2 linked regions of the Medicago truncatula genome follow. The protein of the gene in region 1 binds, or shares a complex with, the protein of each later gene. Links are inferred from orthologs where the notes say so. Each region holds a gene or a part of one and is shown on either strand. Other genes may lie near its edges.

Region 1 (11,045 bases):
TAGATTCTGTAAATTTTGTAATTTCAGAAACAAAAGGATTACAAATACAGATATGATTTTCTCAGTTTTCCTCACTATCTCTCAACTTTCTATCAAACATCATTTCATTGATTTCTTCAACTAATTTTTCCTAACAAGCAATATCTTTTGTTTTGACAAGGCATGCACAAACGAAGGGATAAAGTCAAAGATTACCAACTGATGCACAGTAAAGATCTCAGGACCACCCAACTCATAAATTTTTCCCATGCTAGTACCATCATCTTTCAAGGCTGTAGTAAGTGCCGCGGCGACATCAACGACATATACAGGCTGGATTCTGCAATAATTGAATGTTAAATAAAAAGTAAATTTCAATGCCAAAAGGAAGAATCACTAACAATACAATTCACTTCAGTAAAAATCATTGAAATTAAGAGTAATTGTTTGATAGATTTGCTCATACTTTGTGTTCCCGTTCCCCATCAATGGAATAAAGCCATACTTCTTTGCAAAATGAGCCCATCGGTTTAAAATCCGGTCCTCTGTACCAATCATAACAGCTGGTTTGAAGATCGTGGCCTGTTAATTGTGATATTATGAATTCTCAAATTAATGCTCTTGCAAGATAGCAAAGCATGATGATCATAATATTTTAACTGTATTAATTAATGCATATGATTTTCATTTCACCATTCACAGAAGAAAAAGATGTATGTCTCTATTTTGTTATCAGATATATACAGTGCATCAGTGCTTAAACAGGGCAAGATATACTTCCTGGAGACATTTTGAAAAAGTAGTAAGAATGCTATCAAACTTCCCTTTTACTTGATATTCAAGAGATTGCTAAATAAACCCCAAAACCTTAAAAATAATGAATCAATTATATTTAATTTACCATTCGCTCATAGAATAATAAAAACCAAGAAGACCAAGAATATTAAGAGTCAATACTTGGGTGGTAAAAATTATTATTGATTGGTCTGACATCTATCTCTGTCATTGAGGGTTATTTTTTTCATATCCTTAATCATTTCCGTTTCCACCCAAAAGCCTATGAAAACAAGAGAGAGAAAATATAGCCTTTCTTTGCTAAGCTTCAAATGTCAACAGAATATTAGAGAATAGTTGCTCCTTTTACATATGAAAACCGAACTAGAAATAAATTACTGGCCTAGAGAGTGAGAAACTAAATGTACCTCAGGTAATTCTCTTAAAACCGCTTCTTCGGCAGCTGCTTTACATCTAAGCATCCTGGAAGAAGATGATGGAGATGCACCTAAGCAAGAAACTTGAATGAACCTCATGATACCACCATGTTCTTTTGAAATCTGCAACGATACAATTTGAATATCAAATATCAGATCAAATTTGGAAATTCCAGATATTACAATAATAAAAAAATAATAAAAAAAATAAAAAAAAACATTCAAACTAATCAAAACCAAGCTTTGCAAGGATTGATATTGGCTCACTTAACATGCACTAAGGGCCCGTTTGGTACAACCTAAAAAAAGTGATTTTAATACTCAATATTTTAGAGATTAATTTTTAGAGATTTTTAAAAAAAGTAGAAGTTGTTGTGTTTGTTTTCCATAATGAAAATAACCTTTTCCTTAAAAAAAAATCTGTTATAAAAAATTGATTTTCTGAGAAGCTACTAAAAACAGCTTCTCATTTGAAAAAGTGATTATTTTATTCGAAAAAAAAAATGTGATTTTTTCATGAAAAAAGCTGTAACAGAGAGGCTCTAAACCAATCATTATTGTACGATTCAACCAATACTCAAATCCATTGGAGATATCACCTAAAGTTTGCAAGAGGCTTCTGAGCCCATTGAAACTGCTTTGAACCTCTAAACTGAATGCTTTCCTCAGATAAGCTCATAACTCAATCTAGTGAATCATACAATTTTCAATTGATTCGATAATCATTTCGGAAGACTTTCTTTTAAATAATTGAAACCCTGTCAGGAATGGTTACAAAACATAAGAGTCAATATGTAGCTTGAGAGTGGCACTGAACAATTTGGATATGTTATATTTTTTATGCTTGGTATCAATTTTAGTTGACCAGATCCAATAATACACAATAGATTCTTGAGAGAACATTATGGTAACCATGTCGAGTTGACTTTCTTTTTCCCCTTTCTCTCACAACTTCATGAACATCCTAAATTTCACAGTTAGCAGCGTGTTTCTCAACATTGGAGGCTACATTTAAAGTCATTTTCTTTAAAGATTTAGAATGTTCTGTTATTATTGAAAATAAACGCCAATGTACAAACACTAAGCAAATAAAATTCTCAGAGAGAGTGGTGAGTGGTTCATAATTTAAGAATAAGACATTAACACGATGATATGGGATGAGAAAAAATTAACAAATGTGAAAGAACATGCCTTTGCAAGTTTCTCGGCCATGTGATAGTGCACTTCCTCATAGCTGAAGTTTCTTGTCTCATAATCCCTTCCTGCCAACAAACAAATAAGCCAAAATGAGTATGTGATTATGAGACAAAAAATCACATACTTTCCATTATGTGAGGTTATGTGAGAATTGTGTGAGATTACCAATGAGATTGATGACAACATTGGCTCTAGCCATTACAGCTTTAACCGAACTCTCATCTCTTGGATTGAATTTCATAGGTACAATCTGGGCATATTAATCACGGGAGGATTAGCACAAATAGTGAATGGAAATAGCGCACGAATATACCACTACTTACTTTCCATTCTAATACAGAAGAAAGAAAAGACAAAAGCAGATTCTTCACAAGTATTAAAACATTTAAAAATGTTACCTGTCCTAAATCTCCCATCAGTTTGAGATGACGAGGAGAATCTTCAGAGCCTCGGAAAGGAACTAAGACTTGAGATCCCATTTTAGCTGGAAGAGGGGAATGACATCCCAAAAAAACAAGCAATACAAGATTTAAGCTTTCTTAACAATATTTGGGTAAACAATTCGTTGAAACAATTACATAACCCACAAACTTACCAAGTTGTTGAACAACATAACGACCAAGGAATCCAGTTGCTCCAAATACTGTGGCAACAATACCACTGCACAAGGATTTGCTTTCAAGATTAATTTACCAGCCATTTATGAGAACATTTAACACAGATCAAAACCTTCCAAACCCTATACTTTCTTAAAAAAGGAATGGAAGGCAAGTAAACCAAGTAAAAAGGTGAAAAGATTTTGATCCTAATCTGTAGGTTAACGAGGTTAATAAACTATAATTCATACTACAAGAAAAAATTTCAAAATAACCATTTCTATTCATTCAGAACGCAAAAAAACAAAATTGAACAGCTCCCAAGGAAAAATCAATCCTAGCCTTAAAACTGCAAGCCTACATTCGATAAATGAGAAACATTCATGATATAACTTCAAGAAGGCATAATATTAAACATCATACATCACGCTAAATAATGAACTGATGATAATACAAATGATTATTTACAGTGTCTAGTCTGTCCTAAACATGCAAAATCAATCTATAGTTGCATCCAACCAATCTTAAAACATTTTCACAGTTTGATGAACATCAGCACGTACTAAACAATGTAACCTCATTTCGTGAAAACATTATTTCAGATTGTCTCAAGTGCAGAAACTACATCCAACTAGGAAAATTTATCAAATCTTATCCTATGGATAAGTTAAGAGATGGAAATATCATCTATAAAATGTTTCTAGAGTCTAGACCACACAAATATAGGGGCCAAAGTTAACAGCTAATGGTGAAATCACCAGCAGTTGGCTTCATTGCCAGCTATGGTGCACGGACTCTGACACAACACAGATTCCGCAACATGGCTAATGTCCAAAATATAGGAGACGGAGACACTGCATACGAATATATAATTAACCTGACAAAAATCTAAATTGAGAATTAAGATTAAGGCCCTCAAAAAAAAAATATTAAGATTACGAGGAATCATTTATAATGCAATCTTATTCTTATTTCTTCACATATATAATCCTAAGATAAGAAGATGAATCATGTCTTTAATAACAAGTAATTAGTCCTATGATAATGAGCCTAATAATGAGACGTCATTGTTGTATTTGTCTCAAAAAGCATTCGATACAATCTAAGGTTAGGGAGTTCGAGAAGTGTATGGCTAGGAGCAGGTATAAGCTCAGTCTCTTGACATGTGTCCGAACCATCTTTTTAATTGAACACCAATAAGAGGTGTTTGACACATGTTCAAGGTGTGTCCGAGAAGTGTCAGTGTCTGTGCTTATGATTACAGCTTTAGTTTTTGTTTCTTGGTAATCCAAGATCAAGCAAGCTCAAAACCCATCAAAAACACTAGTTCTGCATCTATACCAAAAGTCCCAAATAAAAAAGAATTTGCAAGCCCCATGTATATACTATTCAAATATCTCTCCACATGAGCGGATTTAATATATCAAGGACTTTAATCACACTCATTTCTCTCAACAACTTCCATCAAATTCAAATACCTCACTTAATAGCTATCAAGCTCAAAACTCATATGCACAAAATGTAGAACCTAAACTAAGAGAAATGAATATTTATTTTATGAATCTTATCATAAATATCCATAAAATTATAAAAATTCAAGTAATGAAGTTAACCTGACAGATGATCTTCCACCAGTACCCTTGCGGACGAGGTGACCAACGCCCTTGGTAGCTATGGTGGAAACATAACGCTCGTGATTTACACCATAGTCTGCAATTACGATTAAAATACTTACAATTAGTTAGTTAATTAGAAATGGAATTGGGAATTAAGGATGATGCATTATACAAATTCGGAAAACGTACAGTGATCGGAAATTGGATAGCTGGATTTGAGCAAAGTTGAGGATTTCAGAGATTCGTGGCCTAAGCGTCTTGTAATAGCTTGCATCTTAGCGTTACCAAGAAGAACCTAAGCAGAGAGAGAGAGAGAGAGAGAGAACGGAACGAACACAGAGAAATGTTGATATGCTATGCTATGGAGGCCGGAAGGTGCACGATATTTGGACTAGATCTATTATTACCACCTCTTTTATTTTAAAATACACCCACCCTTTTTTTTTTTTTTTTATGAAATGGTCATCTCTATTCTCCACGTAACTGCAAAGATTAATTCATAGATCCGTTAAAAAAAAAAAACACGATGAGTGGAAAAACTCTTTGTCAAGAAGAGATTTATCATTATTGCATTTTATGGTTGGATTCGAACACATGACATCTGATTAAACTGAATGAGATCTATTATTGAATGCACCCACCCCTTTATCTAAACATTACTATGTTTTTCCATTTCATATTTTTTTTTTATAATTTATTTCTGGTTTTTCCACAATGTTAAACAAAAAAAATACTATCATTAATTGTTTTACAGATTCTTATTTTTCAAACTCTAAGGTATAGTTGAAAACAAGGATTTATTATATCTTCAATTTCTATAACATACTTTGTTTTGAAACAAAGATGGAATGCTATTGGCAAATGAAATTATAAAGATGTAAATTTTAGGAGAAAATACACACATAAAAGGTTAATTTTTGGTACACATTTATACATTCTCAAATTCTTAAAGGTATACCAACATCTCCAAAAAAAATTAGGACATATGTGAATTTTAACCAATCAACAAGAGAGATAGAGAACATGTAATTCAGAGACTGTGTTGATACTTGATGGCATACTTTGTACAATTACAGGTAGTTGCTAAACCAGCAAAGTCACTATGATTAAAGTCATACGTTTATGATTAATTGAAAATGTAACCAAATTTACACATACAACGTAAATTAAATTCGTAGAGTATTCATAATATATAATATCATATTGCAAAGGATAGTTCACTAGCAAATTACGACATTGTACAAAAGAGTTGATTACACACACTACCAGAGATGATAAAAAAAAAAATGAACAGCCAACTATGCAAAAGAGAAAATTTAAGCAATGTCATTTCTGTGGGATAGTAAATGTAGTCAAAACTTCAGCCTAGAAACGGGCTTGATTCTGCGTTGCTAACTAATAAGAAAAACGTGGAATACACAAGACTAGTTCCAACTCTAAACTTTGCTAAGCAAACACTCTACTGCCTCATTCTCAAAACTACTTTATTGTGCATACTTGATGATCCCAATTCAGACACCCCATGTTTACCTTCCTGTAACAGCGGATCATCTTACTTTTTTCTTGTAACAAAACATGTCAACCATGCATGAACTCCTCAAAAGGATGAATCAACTCATAACACTTTCAACCAGGAAACTCATTTACTCCCCCCCACTGGAGCAGTTGAGGGACACGTGTTCATTTTATGTCTCTGCGTGTGCCAATGCAGCAGTGGCAGCAACTCAAGCATCACCACTGTTTCCGCTTTTGATTGCCGCTGCCTCTGAAGGTTCTTAATCTCTTTCCACCACTAACTATGAAGATTTTCAGACATTCTCAACTTGTTTAAAAATCCGGCATGCCAGTTGATCGCGATGAATATTCAGTCACCAGCTTCAAAAACATGGATGACTTATCTTCTAATAGCCTCAATGGAGTGTCAAACTCTGCAACTAGACCTGCAAAAAATGTCAAAAGCTAACATCATGAGCACATAGTAGTGAAACATAAAAATTATATATAAAAAAAATAAAATAAATCATTTCCAGCCATCCCAAGCACTCAATTTAAAATCACATCTGCGCTCTATTTCCTTTTCATGTTGTGCATGAAATGGGAAGATAGAGAAAAGAATTATATAGATACATGTTGCTCCCTGACAGATTTAGAAGTGAGCAGACACATGTAGTAAAGTAACACGTAAGCGCACTCATAAATTGAACACATTGTCAGCCAATTTTACTATTTTTGGCATTCCGTTGACTAAAAGACTAAATTGATTTAAAACTGACACTATAACAGAATCTCGCATTAAAAAAGCAGAATCTACAACCTGCTGAACTTTCAACTCTCTTATATGACTGGTATATTTACTTTATCAGAGATGACATTTTGACACAAAAATTTGACAACAATTTAGATAGTTAACACAGTTTAAATATGTGGTTAGTACTGTCTAATGATGGTTAGTGAATATGACAAGGTGTCGCAACTCACTAACCATCTATTGAACGTAGTTAAGCATGATTTTCAACGTCATTAACCACCAAAATTTTGGTGTTCAAATATGCATAATATCCTTTTTTTTTTTTTTTGGTCAGGATGCATAATATCCTTTAACCATCCAAATTGTGGTCAAATATACATGATATCCATTAACAACAAGTTTTGTTTAAATATACACCAGAAAATAGTAGTTAATGACATTTAAAACAATGGTAAATTATGTCCAGTGGATGGTTAATGAGTTGTGACACCTTGCTATTTTCGTAAACCATCCACTTGAATGTAATTAATCGAATATATGAACTATGTTACTATCCAAATTATTGTCAAATTTAGGTGTCAAAAAACACAACTCATACTTTATTTTGTTTGGGACATGAATGTTTACTTTCATGGAACAATTTCTCAAAGCTGCAACAGAAAACAAAGAGGTATATTGATGTGATTTCAACATTTAACTTGAAAAAATTGTTTACTGTCCTGTTGGACAAAGCAAAGCCTAAAAGCAATTTTACTGCAAAAAAGAAAGAAAAGCCAAAGAACAGTATAAAACGATACGTACCATCACTGAGTACCAGGACAAGATCACTGTCAATAACAGTAGGAATACGATGAGCAATAGTGCACACAGTACAGTCTCTGAACTCCTCTCGGATAACCTTCTGGATAAGATTATCAGTAGCACTGTCAACAGAAGCTGTTGCTTCATCAAGTACAAGTATCTTTGACTGCTTGAGCAGAGCTCGGCCAAGAGCAACAAGTTGCCGCTGTCCTACACTCCAATTATCACCATTTTCTAGCACTGCGAATTTGAAACAAATCATAAGATACCCGTGACTCAACATTTTACCTTCCCTTTTTCTTTTTCAGGGGTTGGTGAAGAAAAGATACCGGGAATATTCCAGTATTTTGGTGGTCTCTTACCTGGTGTATCAAGCTTTTGTCCTTTCTCACGAATGATCTCTCCAAGCTGAGACTTATCTAGTGCCTATGAGAAGTTAAACACAAAGCAATCAAAATTAGAACCACCTACTCTTACATAAGATAGCCATAATTTTCAAATAACAAGGACTATTCAATTATTTTCTTATGCTATTAGATTTATAAGGAGTGAAAATCATAAGTGGATTTGGAAACTAATTCAATCATCTAACAATAAAATAGCATTACTAAGTTAAAAATTACACAAATTTTGTGCAATTATTTAAATGAAACTATCTTTTGTGCAATTATTTAAATGAAACTATCTATCTAAATAATACTATTATACTAACCTCCCAAATCTCTTTATCAGAATGCTCTTCAAGAGGATCCAGATTGCCTCGAATGGTGCCTTCAAATAAGGTTGGATCTTGTGGTATGATACTCAAATGGCTCCGAAGGTCATGAAGGCCAATTCCCGAGATATCAATGTTGTCTATAAGGATACTCCCGGCTGCTGGTTCAACCAATCGAAATAACGCCTGAATCAAAGTAGATTTGCCACTGCCAGTTCGTCCAACTATTCCAATCTTCTTCCCACCAGGAAATGTGCAGGATACTCCATGAAGCACCATGGGAAGATTTTCCTTGTAACGAACCTTCAAGAGAGAGACAGTAGAGGGAAAATGAGGTGGATCATCGCCAGAAAGAGGCAATTGCAGTAGAAAAATCACAATAAAGATTTTGATGCAATGCACATTTCTAAGAGTTTGGATTAGACTCTAATGTTGTGCAACAGAAGAAAACATAAGAATCTTCCCGCACTCAAAATTTTTTAAAATAAATAAAAATTAAAATGGCTAAAATCAAAATTAAATGCGGTAGAATAGACATGAACTACTTGGTGCTGAACAAAGAACAAAGAGCATATTTAATGTGAAACTTAGATGGTACCTTCAGATCAATTAGTTGAATTGTCCCATTCACTGGCCATGAGGGTGGAGGGCGAAAATCTTCAATAAGTGGTGGTGCTTCACTAGGAATTTGACTGTACTGATAAATCCTTTCAATAGATATAATTTTATTTTCAAGTTTACAAAAGCTTAGTATCCAGCGAGACAAACGTCCATTTAAATTCAGGCCATACGTCACAGCAAGTCCAGCCATACCTATAAGCAGAAAAGTAACAGTAATTAGCAACAGAACATTGTTTACTATTGCATTCTGCTTGGTTCCAAACCATCACTTAAGCCCTTTCCTATAACACAATCTAATACCATATACACCTGCTTTAAGTGAAATTGAAATGCAAAAGAACAAAATCATACACCAAGTATGAGCTATCAGTAGACTATTCTATGTGATAAACAAATTCAACAGTAAAGACCTGAGTCGTAACAATAGTGCGAAACAACTATGTGAACAGAATCAAAATAGTAAAGATTCCATAGGAATCATTTCTAGTAGTAACTACTTCAAATAATACTACATGACTTTGTTTTGACAAAATATACTACATAACTCAATCCTCCAGGATTTGACATCATGAAAATTGGGAATCAATCAGGAAAAAAACTCACTGGGGTCAATACTTCCACGGGGAAAGCTCACGAGTAATACCATGCAGAAAGCAAATACAAAAGTTGAAAGCAATTCCATGCGTAGGCAGAGCCACTCAATAGCTGCAAGACTGCAAAAGAATGGTCGTGCAAAACAATCCAGAAGATAGAGGTTCCTCTTCAAGAACCTTTTTTCTTGTCCAAAACCTCTGATGGTGGCTGCTCCAGCAATTGATTCACCAAAAAGTTGTATAATTGGAGATTTCTGGATGCTTACAATACGTACAAGTTCCCTTGAAGAAGCCATGTAGTATTTCTGCAATTAATTAATGGTCAAATATTAAGCCACAGCATTGGGAGTTAGGAAAACACAAAATGCAATATATTAATGGAGGATTTCTAGTCCTTCGTCAATGTATCTTCTCTGTACCCCTTGAATAAAAAATTTCCTTAACAGAAAAATAATGAATAGGAACTTTATGATAAATGGGGTTTATTTTATCCTTCATGGCTTGATTTTCAGCTAAAGAAATCTTTTTGAAAAGCAGATTGAAAGATTAAAAAATAGGCTTATGATTTCCGATTACCTGCATCCACAAACAGACAATTGCCATTGGGACTACTAGGAGCAAAACTTGCCATGTAACTTCTGACATTACAGCAACAATGCCAATAAGTTGTATCGTTGATGAAGCAAACCCTCCAAGTCTAAAAGGAATGTCAAGATCCACAACACTTTGATCAATTGAAACCTGAGGGAATAAAGGTAGTTCATTATATGATGTAGAGAGACAAAAACAAAAGAGGAGTGGGAAACAACGAGAAAACTTACACGATTCAGGATCCTTCCAGCTGGTGTAGAGTCAAAGAAAGACATTGGTGCATGGAAAATACTCCTAAGCATGTTAAAAAACAGCTTCTGTGCAGCTGCTAGACCAAATGTAGCCACGAGAACGGCCCTAACAAATATGAAGCATGAGCTGCCAAAGGCAAGGGCCATGTAAACAAGAAGAAGAGTCGTGGGAGTTACTTTGGGCTCGTCTCCTTCTGTTTGAGGATTCGCCCAAGCCATCCACCAATTGCTGGCAATCTGAAGGAACTGAAATAATGTTTGTGCAATGATTATGAGGGGAATCAGTAAGCCTTTATAGGCGGCTGCCATGTAGGTCAGGTACACCTTCATGCTGACTCTACCTCTAACCCTCTCCTCTTCTTGAACAAGCTGTTTTTTTCTTGAGCGCTTTGCCTTCTTCTTTTCCTTTATTTCTGACGATCCCTCGTGAACTTCCTTCGCCAAACTGGCAATATCATTTACAGAAGAAATAGATTTCTTACTGGTCCTAATAGGTGCATCCAACGACTCATTTTCATCTGAATCTTCTGAGGATGAGTGAGTAGGAATGTCCATTGCCTCTATTGCTTCATGGTGAGCTGAAACTAGAGATCTAAAATCTGTTCCTGCCTGTAAAAGGTCATCAT
Region 2 (11,278 bases), on another chromosome or scaffold:
ATGGCATTCAATGCAAAAGATGGTCTTTCATATCAGATCAGCAGAATGTAATTTTCTAACTATTTACTTATTTTTATGCTCTTATCTTAATATTATGTAGATTAATTTTGTATTGTTTGTAATGATGAAGGGTTTGGTGAATACAATAGCTTCTATTGGTGATAATGTTGAGCACAGACTGTGTGTGAGACATTTGTTTGGGAATTTTAGGAAAAGACATCCTGGTGAGCGCTTAAAAGAAGCTTTGTGGGCTGCAGCTAGGGCAAATACTATGCCTGATTTTAACAGGGCTATGGACAAACTGAAAAGTTTTAGTGAGGTAGCTTGGGATGAGATGAAACAATATCCACCAGGTATGTGGAGTAGGGCATGATACAAGACTCACACATGTTCTGACTTACAAGTCAATAACATGTGTGAGGCATTTAACTCTTCAATCATTGAGTTAAGATAGCAACCAGTTATTTCACTTATTGAGGGACTAAAGTTTTATATAACTAATATGATAGTTAGATTAAGGGATTACATGTTGAGGTATTCTGGTGATATTTGTCCAATGATCAAAAAGATATTTGACAAGGCTAAGAAGGATGCAAATAATTGGTCACCAACTTGGCATGGTGATAGAGAATATGCTCACTTTAGTGCTTCTGATGGAAGTGATATGTATGTGATTAATGTCAAAGAGAGGACCTGTTCATGTAGAAGGTGGGAATTAAGTGGTATTCCTTGCCCACATGTTGTTGCAGTAATCTACTACGATAGCCAAAACCCAGATGAATATGTGGCACATTGGTATAGGTGAGTTGTGATTTTATATGCTTTATGTATTCTTAATTTAAGTGGTTAATTAAGTATAATTTGGTTGGTTTCACATGACAGGAAGCAAACTTTCTTGGATACATATGATAATTTTATCATGCCTTCAAATGGACGAAAGATATGGCCAGAAGTGAACCTTCCACCAATACTGCCACCTCCAGTCAGAAGGGCACCTGGGAGGCCAAAGAAGCTTAGAAGGAAGGATAATGATGAGCCTAAGTCAACAACTAGCAAGAAGGGAAAGAGAAATCAGGACACTGTGAGGTTCACAAGATGTAAGGAACTTGGACATAACATGAGGACTTGTAAGGGTAAAACAGCTACTGATAGGTCAATTAAACCTGGAGGGAACAAGTTAATAACACAGTTTCTGTTGTTATAACACTTTCTGATAGATAACACATGATCTGATATATAACACACTTTGTGATATTGTAGGATAATACTGATATTCAACACCCTGAGGCTTCAAATGCACAAGCTTCAAATGCACAACACTCAAATGCACCTGCAACTGCTACTGCTGGTACAAACAACCATGCTGGTTCTGTAACTGCTGCTCATGTAACTACTACAACCAGTAACACATCTGGTAAGCATGTTATTGTTGGTGATTCATCCTTGTTTGTGCCTAGAAGGTCAAGGTTTGCTGGAGCTAAAAGGAAAAGTGATGAGATGGCAACTGTGGGGACTCAACAATCAGTGAACAAAAATTAAGTTAGGAATGGCAATTAATGACAATGAGACTGATGTTATATTTTGATTAATTTAGGTTATTTAATGTCAAGTACTCTTTATCTTATATTTTGGTTAATTTTGGTTATGTAAGGTTAAGTACTCTAAAGTACTGGTTATGATCTTTTGGTTAAGTTCTTTGTTTTGGTTATGGTTATGTAAGGTTAATGCACTTTTTAAACCTATGTCATCTTAAGTACTCTAATGTTAAATACTCTTCATGTATTTTGTATTTGGTGAATGTGAAGTAATACTATGTTAACTTCGTTTGAATGTCAAGTATTTAAGTACTATAATGCACTAAACTTTGCCAAAACATAAAACCTGTTTCATTAATTCTTTGCCAATAGCAGAGATTACATCAAAATCATAGCAACATTACATAACTGAAACATTACATCATACCAATATTACATCAATCCATAAGTTAACCAAGCTTAATGAAAATCACAAACAAACTTAAAAACAACAACATCCCTAAAACTACAATTGTTAACTCCAACTTTTTCTCCTTCTTCTTCATTGAATCATTCTTCTTCAAAAGTCCTCTAATTAATTTCTTCTGCCTCTCAGGCACTTCTGGATCAAACCATCTGAAAAAACTGCATTTTTCTTCTCTGGAAATACTTTCCACAACCATGGAACCTCCTTCCTGGATTTTCATTTGTCCAAGCCGTGACTAGAGGTGATTCAACACCACAATAACAAACCAACCTTGATTTGGCCATACTTGATGACCCAGAAACAGTTGAAGATGAATTGTTACCAACCATTTTCTGTTTTCCGATCTGCAAACACACAAAACAAATCGATGTGGAACTAAGAAAGGAGGTAGAGGAAGAATCGATGTGGAAGAAAGGAGAAGAATGGTTGAATAAGATGGTTGAAGAAGAACAGATGAAGGTTCGGTTATGGAGAAGAACAAATGAAGGTTCGGTTATGGTCGAATAAGATCAAGAAGAACAGATGAAGAAGAAGGGTTGAAGAATTGGGGGGTTTTTAAGGTTGGAGTTTTTTGCCGTCGGGAACTCTCACGTGCTCTCACGTGCCAACACTTTATATATATATATATATATATATATATATATATATATATATTTTATTCAAGTATTACACAAGTGGCCTTTTGAATAAAAATAAATGGGAAAATACACATGTGGCATGACACCTTCGCGTTGACCCGGTCAAAATTGACCAAAAGGTCTCTTTTGCAAATGGGCTAAAACATAGGGGTTTAAATTTTCATTTTTTTAATAGGGGGCCAAAATCGCACCATTGTGAAAGTTAGAGGGTTAAAACTGCAGTTTAACCTTTTATTTTTAACGAATTTGCATTGCATCGATATACTCTATCAATTTGAATGAATATCGTTTATTTTGTCAAAAAAACAAATCTCTAGATCAATTTCAATAATTATAAATTGACCAACCCAAAAATAAATCGAATGAAAATAAGCAAAATTTGATAAAATTGTGCATTTTAAGAAATATAGTATTTTTTCCTCAAAAAAGAAAGAAAGAAATATAGTATTTTTTTTTTTTGTAAAACTTAAGAAAGACGGCTGATTACATTTCTCGTAAAAAATTATGTCTATTGACTAAATTATCCTTCGTGGATGATAAATTGATTCATAGAAAATCAAAATTGAATAAAATTAAATGCAATTAAGAAATACTATCATTAAATAAGAGAGAAATAGTTAAAATTCGCTTATATTTCTTTTTGGATGGAGTATTATGATAATAGAAGATGTACGAATCGAGAATCCAGCTCTACTTATTTACATTTTTGAAGGGGAAGAAAATGAAACAAGAAGAGAACAAGTATCAGGAGGAGACATCTCACAAAGTCAGTGCAAGCTTGACTTGTTTGTTTTCAATTCGCCTTAATTTTGACTTTTTATGTAAAGATGTTTATATCACTTCATTAATAATAACGTCAAGATAGAAGTGTTAATATCAATCAAATATGGATGTGAGCTAAAAATGTGATTGTTTTACAAGACAGTTGCCTCATTAGCTTGCCTCCTAATAAACTCAACATGTGAGTTTTGAATTTATTTCAAAGAAAAGAGCACTACGATCTAGTAAAGTGACACCTAACTCAAAGTTTCTCCTTACGAAATTTGTCCACCGTAATTTTGAAGTCCTTCTCAAAACCAACAAGTTCTATGTTAGTGAAGAAAACCATTCCATTTTGGCAAGAAAGAAGTTACCGTATGTTATCATCTCTTATGCAAATTCTAATTCCAACTCTTTTAAGTTGAGTTGAAAATTTGCTCAAAAAAAAAAAAGTTGAGTTGAAAATGATGCATCGATGTTGCATTTGAACTGAACTGGATCTAGTTTCTTCCCACCGTCAACAAAAATACAAGTTGGAACATTTTGCTTCGAACGAAACTTTTGCGCCCCGCCAATCTTCCAATAAATACTTTCTTCGTAACAACCCTTAGTTAGATGTCTTTGCTATTCCGGATCATGTTGTTGTGTTGTTTCCAAAGACATATTTGCAAATACTCATAAAGTATATGAAAGTCGTCTCCAAGTACATAAAACATTGTCGATTAGTCCCAGAGCCGTTTCTAAAATTTGGTGGCTTAGGACGAACCTATAACTTGGATCCTTAATAATAATTACATAGGAAAATTTAAATTTTCAAAGTGTGAAAATAATTTACTTAGGCTCAGTTTGGTAAAAATAAGCTATAAGCTAACTGATAGCTGATGACTGATAGCTGATAGCTTATAGCTGAAAAGGATTTTTTTTTTTTTAATATACATATAGACACACACATTTTTTTGTAATGTTTTTTTTTCTAATATTTTTAATTATAGTTAAATATGTTTTTGATCCCTGTAAATATTCAAACTTTTGGTCTTAGTCTCCATAAAAAAATTCTTCGACCTTTAATCCTAAAAAAAAATTCACCGACAATTTTGATCTCTGCTTTATGAATCCCAAAAATAAAAGAAAGGTGGAAACAAAATGTGAGCTAGAATATATAAAATTTTACAACGTACAATAGACTAGTTATTTTTTCCTTTAAAAGAAAAAATAGGCTAGTTATTTTTTGTGTGGTGTACAGCAGGTTAGTTATAGCAAAATATAAAACATTTCCTTAAAATATATATATATATATAAAGTGCTCCTTAAAAAAAAAACAACGTGACATTTTTTTTAAGGAAAAAAATGGGGCGGTTATAAAGATGAACATGAATAGTTGTTTAATTAAAAAAATAATTAATTTAAATTAATAAGGTTAAAGTTGGAAGAAAATATAAAAAGCTACCAGCTATAAGCTAAAAAGTTACTTGAAATAACTTTTTAAAAAACGCTATAAGCTCATGAAAAAAACGTGTTACCAAACACGTCACGTTTTCATCTAACGAGCTTATAAGTTAATCCAACAAGCTATAAGCTAGCTTTTTTGGGTTAACAAACACAGCCTTAAAGAGGATAGTTTTTACTACATTAAAAAATTATCTAGTAAAAACATCAAAATTCATACAAAAAAAAATATAAAGTTTTTTATTTGATATTCAAATGCTTATACAAAATTTGGGTAATAATTATAGATGCAACGTGACTAATGAATATTTTAGATGCAAAGTGACTAATGATTAATAATTGTGGCAACATCAATATGTTCTATCATATCTTTCTCAATATAAAAAATGGCATTCAATCTTTCTTATTACATTAATTTTTTGAGAAATTTTTCAATAATTTTAACTTCGAAAAACTTCTTTTGATTTTGAAGGAAGAGTTTGGGATGGTGGAAGGCTAGAAATTTGAACCTCCTTTTTAACATCACGATAAATTATAAATGGGTCAACAAAGAACTAAACTCGTTACTATCAACCACACATTCCATTAGAATTTAAGTAATTTTTTTGGGCCTAATGAACCTCTAATTTTTTTTTTGTTGGGACCTAAATTTCGTACTTATATTTTGGAGCCTAGAATCGTCCTACTCGGCCCCACATCAGATACGACCCTGATTAATTTTAAACATGTTAATAATAAAGATTAAATTGAAGATTTTTATTTTCGTTAGGATTGCTTATCATATTTATATAATTTATGATTGAATTGAAGAGAGAATGTTGATATAAACTCTAAATAGTTTATTATCTAAGTGTTTATGAAATACAAGTTTCAAAAGTGACCAAGTCAATTCCTAAAAAAAAAAAAATAGTGACCAAGTCAAATAAAGTTTTGGTTTAGTAAAAAAAGGACATATTAAAATTAAATTATTTGATAAAATTAATCTTTTGAAGCGATTAATAAATATAAAATGATATAAAAAATAAATGATTGTTAAATTTTTTATAAAATAGATTTATAAATATTCTTTACTTAAAATATTTATTTTTAAAATTTAATTTGGATACAAATAATATAATTTTTTTACATTGACATTCACTTAAATTACTCTGATATTATTTTTTAAAAGAGAAAAAAAAAAGTTATCAAAAAATAATTGTATAAATATAATTTCTCTAACGAATGTGCTACATAAAATCAATATTGTAAAGTTTGGGGGTCGGTTTGTAAAAAATTAGTGATGGAGCACGGTGCACCACGTCGCCTAACAAAAACAGTTTGGCTGTTGCATTCTCCATCCATAAACAACAAACAGAAGGAAGAAGAAGAACGAGGGAGAAAGAACGGTGCTCTCGAAGCAACAAACAACCATGGCGGCATTTCTAACTCGAACATCTTCACGCTTCTCACAATTGTCATCACCACAACGCATAGCGTCTCTTCACACAACCCTCCCATCTCTCTCATCAACCACACCCACCCCTTATGCTCCACCGCCTCCTCCATCGACTACCTCTCCCGTCGGAATATCGAAGACGGCGGAGTACGTGATCTCGAAGGTTGATAATCTCATGAATTGGGCTCGTACTGGCTCAATCTGGCCTATGACTTTCGGACTCGCGTGTTGTGCTGTTGAAATGATGCATACTGGTGCTGCTCGTTACGATCTGGATCGATTTGGTATCATTTTTCGACCTAGTCCTCGTCAATCTGATTGTATGATTGTTGCTGGTACTCTTACCAATAAGATGGCTCCTGCTCTTCGCAAGTATGTTTCCTTCCCCCTTTTCTAGGGTTTTTTACTTTCTTATTGAGATTTGTTTATTGTTGGCGTAATTCATATTGTTTGCCCCCAATATAAGAGTTGATTTGTTTATCTTGTTAGAAATGTGTATTTTGAATCTACGACGAAGAATGTTCAAACTCTAAATTGCCCTCTTGATTTAGGTCTTGTTTGGATAAACAACATAATTAAGCTCTTATTGTTTAAGTGCTTGTGTGTAAACTATTTGTATAACAAAAGATTCGAAAAGTCAATTTTTTTTTCCTTCATATAGATGAAAGTTGTTTTCATTAGCTATCTTGGGGAGGTTATGGAAATAAGCTGAAAACAGCTTATGGACATGTCATGAGTTGGTTTCATAAGCTCGTATCCGAATTAGTTTTGCAAGTGTTTGTCCTAATAGATAAGCTCAATTCTCAAATAAGATTTAATTGTGAAAATTATAATGTTTCGTTTCTTTTGATTCCATATTATGTTATCATGAATTGCTTCGGTATATTCTGCTTGTAGGACACTAATAGCTAGGGAAAAAAAATTAGAGCACTCACTACCTTCAAAATACCAAAGATAAGCACTAAACAGAATAACTTAAAACAAACACATTCTGCCTGTAGGACACTAATAGCTAGGGGAAAAAATTAGAGCACTCACTACCTTCAAAATACCAAAGATAAGCACTAAACAGAATAACTTAAAACAAACACTGTAGTCTGCAGACTCTTTGAAGGGTCTGCTTCTTACCTGCCAAGTGTGCAGGTCATTGCAATTCCTATCCACTCCCCTGAACTAATTATCTTTTCCCCATTTATATTTCCCTTGTTTCCCCCTACGAGCTTCTAATTCCCTTCTACAGTTGTCCTTCCTAGTAATATAGACTTAAGTCATAGGGGTTGGCAACCAAATAGTCTTCTCTATGTGCTCGAATGTTGTTGTGGAAATCATTTCAATTGAATTTGAGCGATGTCACTGCATGTTAGAAGAGGTTCGTATGTGGATATTTATTGTCTCACGTTTAATATGAGGGGTGTGAAATGTGAACTTTCCATGTCTACAAAAATGTTCAATTGGGTCTGGTTGTTAAAGAAAAGTGTGATGTATGTCACTTTTGAAGTTTATATGATTTTGCTATTAATTACTATAGGGCGCTCATCTTTATCTATCAACCGTTGATATATCATTGGGGTAATTGTCACTTTGGCCCCTGAACGTGTAATGAGTCCCTGAATGTATCGAAATTCCAAAACAGTCCCTGATTGTGCATTTCGTTTGTCAAAATAGTCCCTCGCGTTAAAATGTTTTGTTAATACTGTCATACCAGTCCCTCAATATACTTACTGTCATATCAATATTTATAAGTACTTGCTTGTTGTCATATCAATCCCTATATGAAAAGAGTTATTGTCAACATTGAGGGACTATTTTAACGTCATGGACTATTTTGATTAATGAAGCGCATAATCAGATATTATTTTGGAAGTTTGTTACATTGAAGGACAATTGTGGCCACTCTTTACACATTCGGGGACTAAAATGACTATTATCTTATCATAGGCTGCTTCAATATATTCTGCCTGTTCGGAGACTAACAGCTAGGGAAAAGGAATTAGAGCACCACCGCTCTATTAATGAAATCTTCCAAAGCTTTTTTTTTTTTTTTTTATAAGCAAAATACATCACTAGGAGTACTCAATCCGTTTACAACAAAATAGTGTTAACCACTTTGAAGACATGCCAAAGGGTAATTGCACCAAGAGGAGAAATTAAAGCATGTTCTGGCTTCAGTTCTAGCTAAAAACCAAGCCCATGACAATGTTTTGATACTATAAAAAACAACAGATTCTTCTGCTGCTGTTGATTTTGGCATAGTATCAAATAATATTATCAAAATACCGAAGATAAGCACCAAATAGAAAAACATGAGGACAGACACTGTAGTCTGCAGACTCTTTGAAGAGTCTGCTTCTTTCTTACCTTCCCAATCCTCATTCAAACTTTGAATGTTCTCTCCTCTCTCTTTCATATCTTATCATTCCATTTCACTAGCAGAAGGAGGTTCCATTTACCTCCCAAGTGTGCAGGTTATTGCAATCACAATGTGCTCCCCAAATGAGGTTCCATTTACCTCCCTGTTTATATTGTTTCACATTACCCCCATATGAGGTTCCAATTCCCTTCTACAGGTCTTTCTTCCCAATAATACACACTTAAGTCATAACGGTTGGCTAACAGACATTCTTCTCTATGTGCTCGAATGTTGTTGTAGAAATCATTTCAATTGAATTTGAATGTGACTGCATGTCGGAAGAGGTTCATATGTGGATAATGATTGTCTCACACTGAATGTGAAGTGTGAGGATTCTATCTCTACGAAAATGTTCAGTTGGATCTGATTGTTGCAGAAAGAATGTGATTTATGTCTCTTTTTAATTTTAATATAATACTATTTTTCCTTTTTCGGAAGGAAAAATATGATTCTATGATGCCAAACTTTAGCCTGCCCATCTTTATCTATCATTGTATCATTACTCAGATTGCTGTTCCACTTATAGGACTCTGTTACTTCTTTTTTTTTATTTCTATTGTGAATTTGTTTTTAATCACTTGAGATTTAGGAGTGGATCCTCTTATTTTAAAATTTCATGCGACCTTGTCATATTAAAATTGTGTTTATTTCTATTGTGAATTTGTTTTTAATCACTTGGAAAATTTGGAGTGGAACTTCACTCATCTGATTGCCTTTAGTAATTAATAATTAATTTTAATTTGCTTTTCTACATTCCGTTACCCGCGAAACTTGATTAATATTCTGTCTTGGACTTGGTCCATTAAGCCAGTTAAATATACAGTTCTCAAGTCAATGCTGACGAAACATTGCAGGGTGTATGACCAAATGCCTGAGCCTAGATGGGTTGTCTCCATGGGAAGTTGTGCTAATGGAGGAGGATACTACCACTACTCTTACTCTGTTGTCCGAGGATGTGACAGAATTGTTCCTGTTGATATTTATGTTCCCGGCTGCCCTCCAACTGCTGAGGCTTTACTGTATGGACTCCTCCAACTGCAGAAGAAGATCAATAGGCGCAAGGACTTCCTCCATTGGTGGACTCAGTGAGGTCGATTAAGTTTATTCCTTGGCACCAATCTACTTTATAATAAGCAATTCATGGTTGTTTTACCTTGCTATGAATCACCCTTTGTTTGGTGGATATTCTGTTGATATGTTACCTTATGATGTATTATGCTGTATGTTTTATGTGGAGCTTTTTGGGGGCTTAAAGTCTTGGAGAAATTGAATGTTTCTTATAATATTAATGCTTCTTATGTACTAGGATTAAACAAACCACTCGTGTTTGACTCATAAGTTACAATGTGTGCTTTGATAAGTCTCCGTCTTGCTTACTCCAGATTAATGGTGTAACTTTGATTATTTTGGAATGGGAACTGATGTTTTGTTCCATTCATCTCTCCTCCTCCTGCACCACGTGTCCATGCCAAAAAATCAATACAGTTTACAAAACAGTGATGGTAACTGTGACCTTGAGTCCCATAGCCTCATCGATGATGACGACAAATAGGGAAAACTTCGAACTATTTTATGAATACCTACATGTAATTTTTTTTTTTAGAATTAAATATGATAATCGTTCCTGTAATTTGGTCTCGTTTTGATTGTCGTCCCCGTAAAAAACGAAAATTTGAAATACTTTCGTGTAAAAAAAAATTTGTTTGAAAATGATCCCTGGCTCAACTATTCAGCTGATTTGGCATGGTTTTGACCACGTGGCAGTTATTGACTGTGCAACTTTTGCCGCATGACGCTGACGTGGTGTGCCACATAATATTAAATTTTTAAAAATATTTTTAAAATTCTGAAAATTGTTTTTCAAATTTAAAAAACAATGTAAATTCTGAAAATAAATTTCAAAATATTAAAATAATTTTCTGAAATTTTTTTTTTTGTATAATTTTCTAAATAAAATTCATTTTTTTTAATATTATATTTTTTTCAAAAGAAAATTAATTAATACTTTAATATAATTTTCAAATGAAAAAAATCTAGTTTTCGAAAATTTAATTTTAACAGTTTTTTTGTCAAAAAATTAAGTTTTCGAGAATATTAAATTTCAAAGTTTATTTTTTCGGAAAAGTATTTTCAGAAATTTTTTATAATTTTTAAATTTTAAAAAATAATTTTCAGAATTTTTTATTTAATTTTTTTTAATTACGTGGACTGCCACGTGGCAAAAGTTGCACAGTCAGCAACTGCCACGTCAGCGAATAGCATGCCAAGTCAGGCATGAAGTAGGGTCAGAGACCTTTTTCAAACAAATTTTTTTTTACAGGAATATATTTCAAATTTCTTTTTTTACAAGGATGATTATCATATTTAAACCTTTTTTTTAGTACTCTGGTTTGGACTTCGATTGGATATTAGTGATCTGAATGCAAAGTTAATTCAATATTTAAACTTACTTTAAAATAATTAAATATAGAAAGGTTTCGTTGTACGAAGTTAAACAATGATACCCTTAATTATTTAAGGGTTAATAGGCTTTTACCCCCTGCAATATAAGTCATTTTTGGTTTTCCCTCCTGTAAATTTTTTTTGTCA

The links.
Region 2: the proteins of NADH dehydrogenase [ubiquinone] 1 alpha subcomplex subunit 9, mitochondrial (region 1) and NADH dehydrogenase [ubiquinone] iron-sulfur protein 7, mitochondrial are in contact, whole or in part, in a cryo-EM structure (PDB 8BEE), measured with the Arabidopsis thaliana proteins. The link is inferred for Medicago truncatula from reciprocal best matches to the Arabidopsis thaliana genes AT2G20360 and AT5G11770. Residues at the interface, in NP_565469.1 of Arabidopsis thaliana: Arg100, Gly101, Ser102, Glu103, Asp104, Arg107, Lys110, Leu111, Lys122, Thr151, Arg152, Asn153, Phe154, Pro330, Phe331, Pro332; in NP_196738.1 of Arabidopsis thaliana: Arg140, Glu148, Arg150, Trp151, Asp176, Arg177, Ile178, Val179, Pro180, Val181, Asp182, Lys205, Arg208, Arg209, His214, Trp215, Trp216, Asn217, Lys218.

The regions. Positions count from the first base shown.
Region 1 is NC_053042.1:33,994,966-34,006,010, reverse strand, and holds the start of NADH dehydrogenase [ubiquinone] 1 alpha subcomplex subunit 9, mitochondrial, read right to left. Parts: upstream 4,979-11,045; 5' UTR 4,874-4,978; coding exon 4,789-4,873; intron 4,694-4,788; coding exon 4,597-4,693; intron 3,048-4,596; coding exon 2,983-3,047; intron 2,872-2,982; coding exon 2,786-2,871; intron 2,638-2,785; coding exon 2,553-2,637; intron 2,453-2,552; coding exon 2,382-2,452; intron 1,314-2,381; coding exon 1,182-1,313; intron 562-1,181; coding exon 446-561; intron 320-445; coding exon 196-319; intron 1-195. Other genes in the region: ABC transporter C family member 5, read right to left, coding at 6,427-6,539, 7,649-7,888, 8,011-8,074, 8,361-8,666, 8,962-9,176, 9,588-9,882, 10,154-10,318, 10,399-11,045. UniProt on the Arabidopsis thaliana protein: Accessory subunit of the mitochondrial membrane respiratory chain NADH dehydrogenase (Complex I), that is believed not to be involved in catalysis. Complex I functions in the transfer of electrons from NADH to the respiratory chain.
Region 2 is NC_053044.1:51,497,486-51,508,763, reverse strand, and holds NADH dehydrogenase [ubiquinone] iron-sulfur protein 7, mitochondrial, read left to right. Parts: upstream 1-6,167; 5' UTR 6,168-6,253; coding exon 6,254-6,651; intron 6,652-9,543; coding exon 9,544-9,778; 3' UTR 9,779-10,101; downstream 10,102-11,278. UniProt on the Arabidopsis thaliana protein: Core subunit of the mitochondrial membrane respiratory chain NADH dehydrogenase (Complex I) that is believed to belong to the minimal assembly required for catalysis. Complex I functions in the transfer of electrons from NADH to the respiratory chain.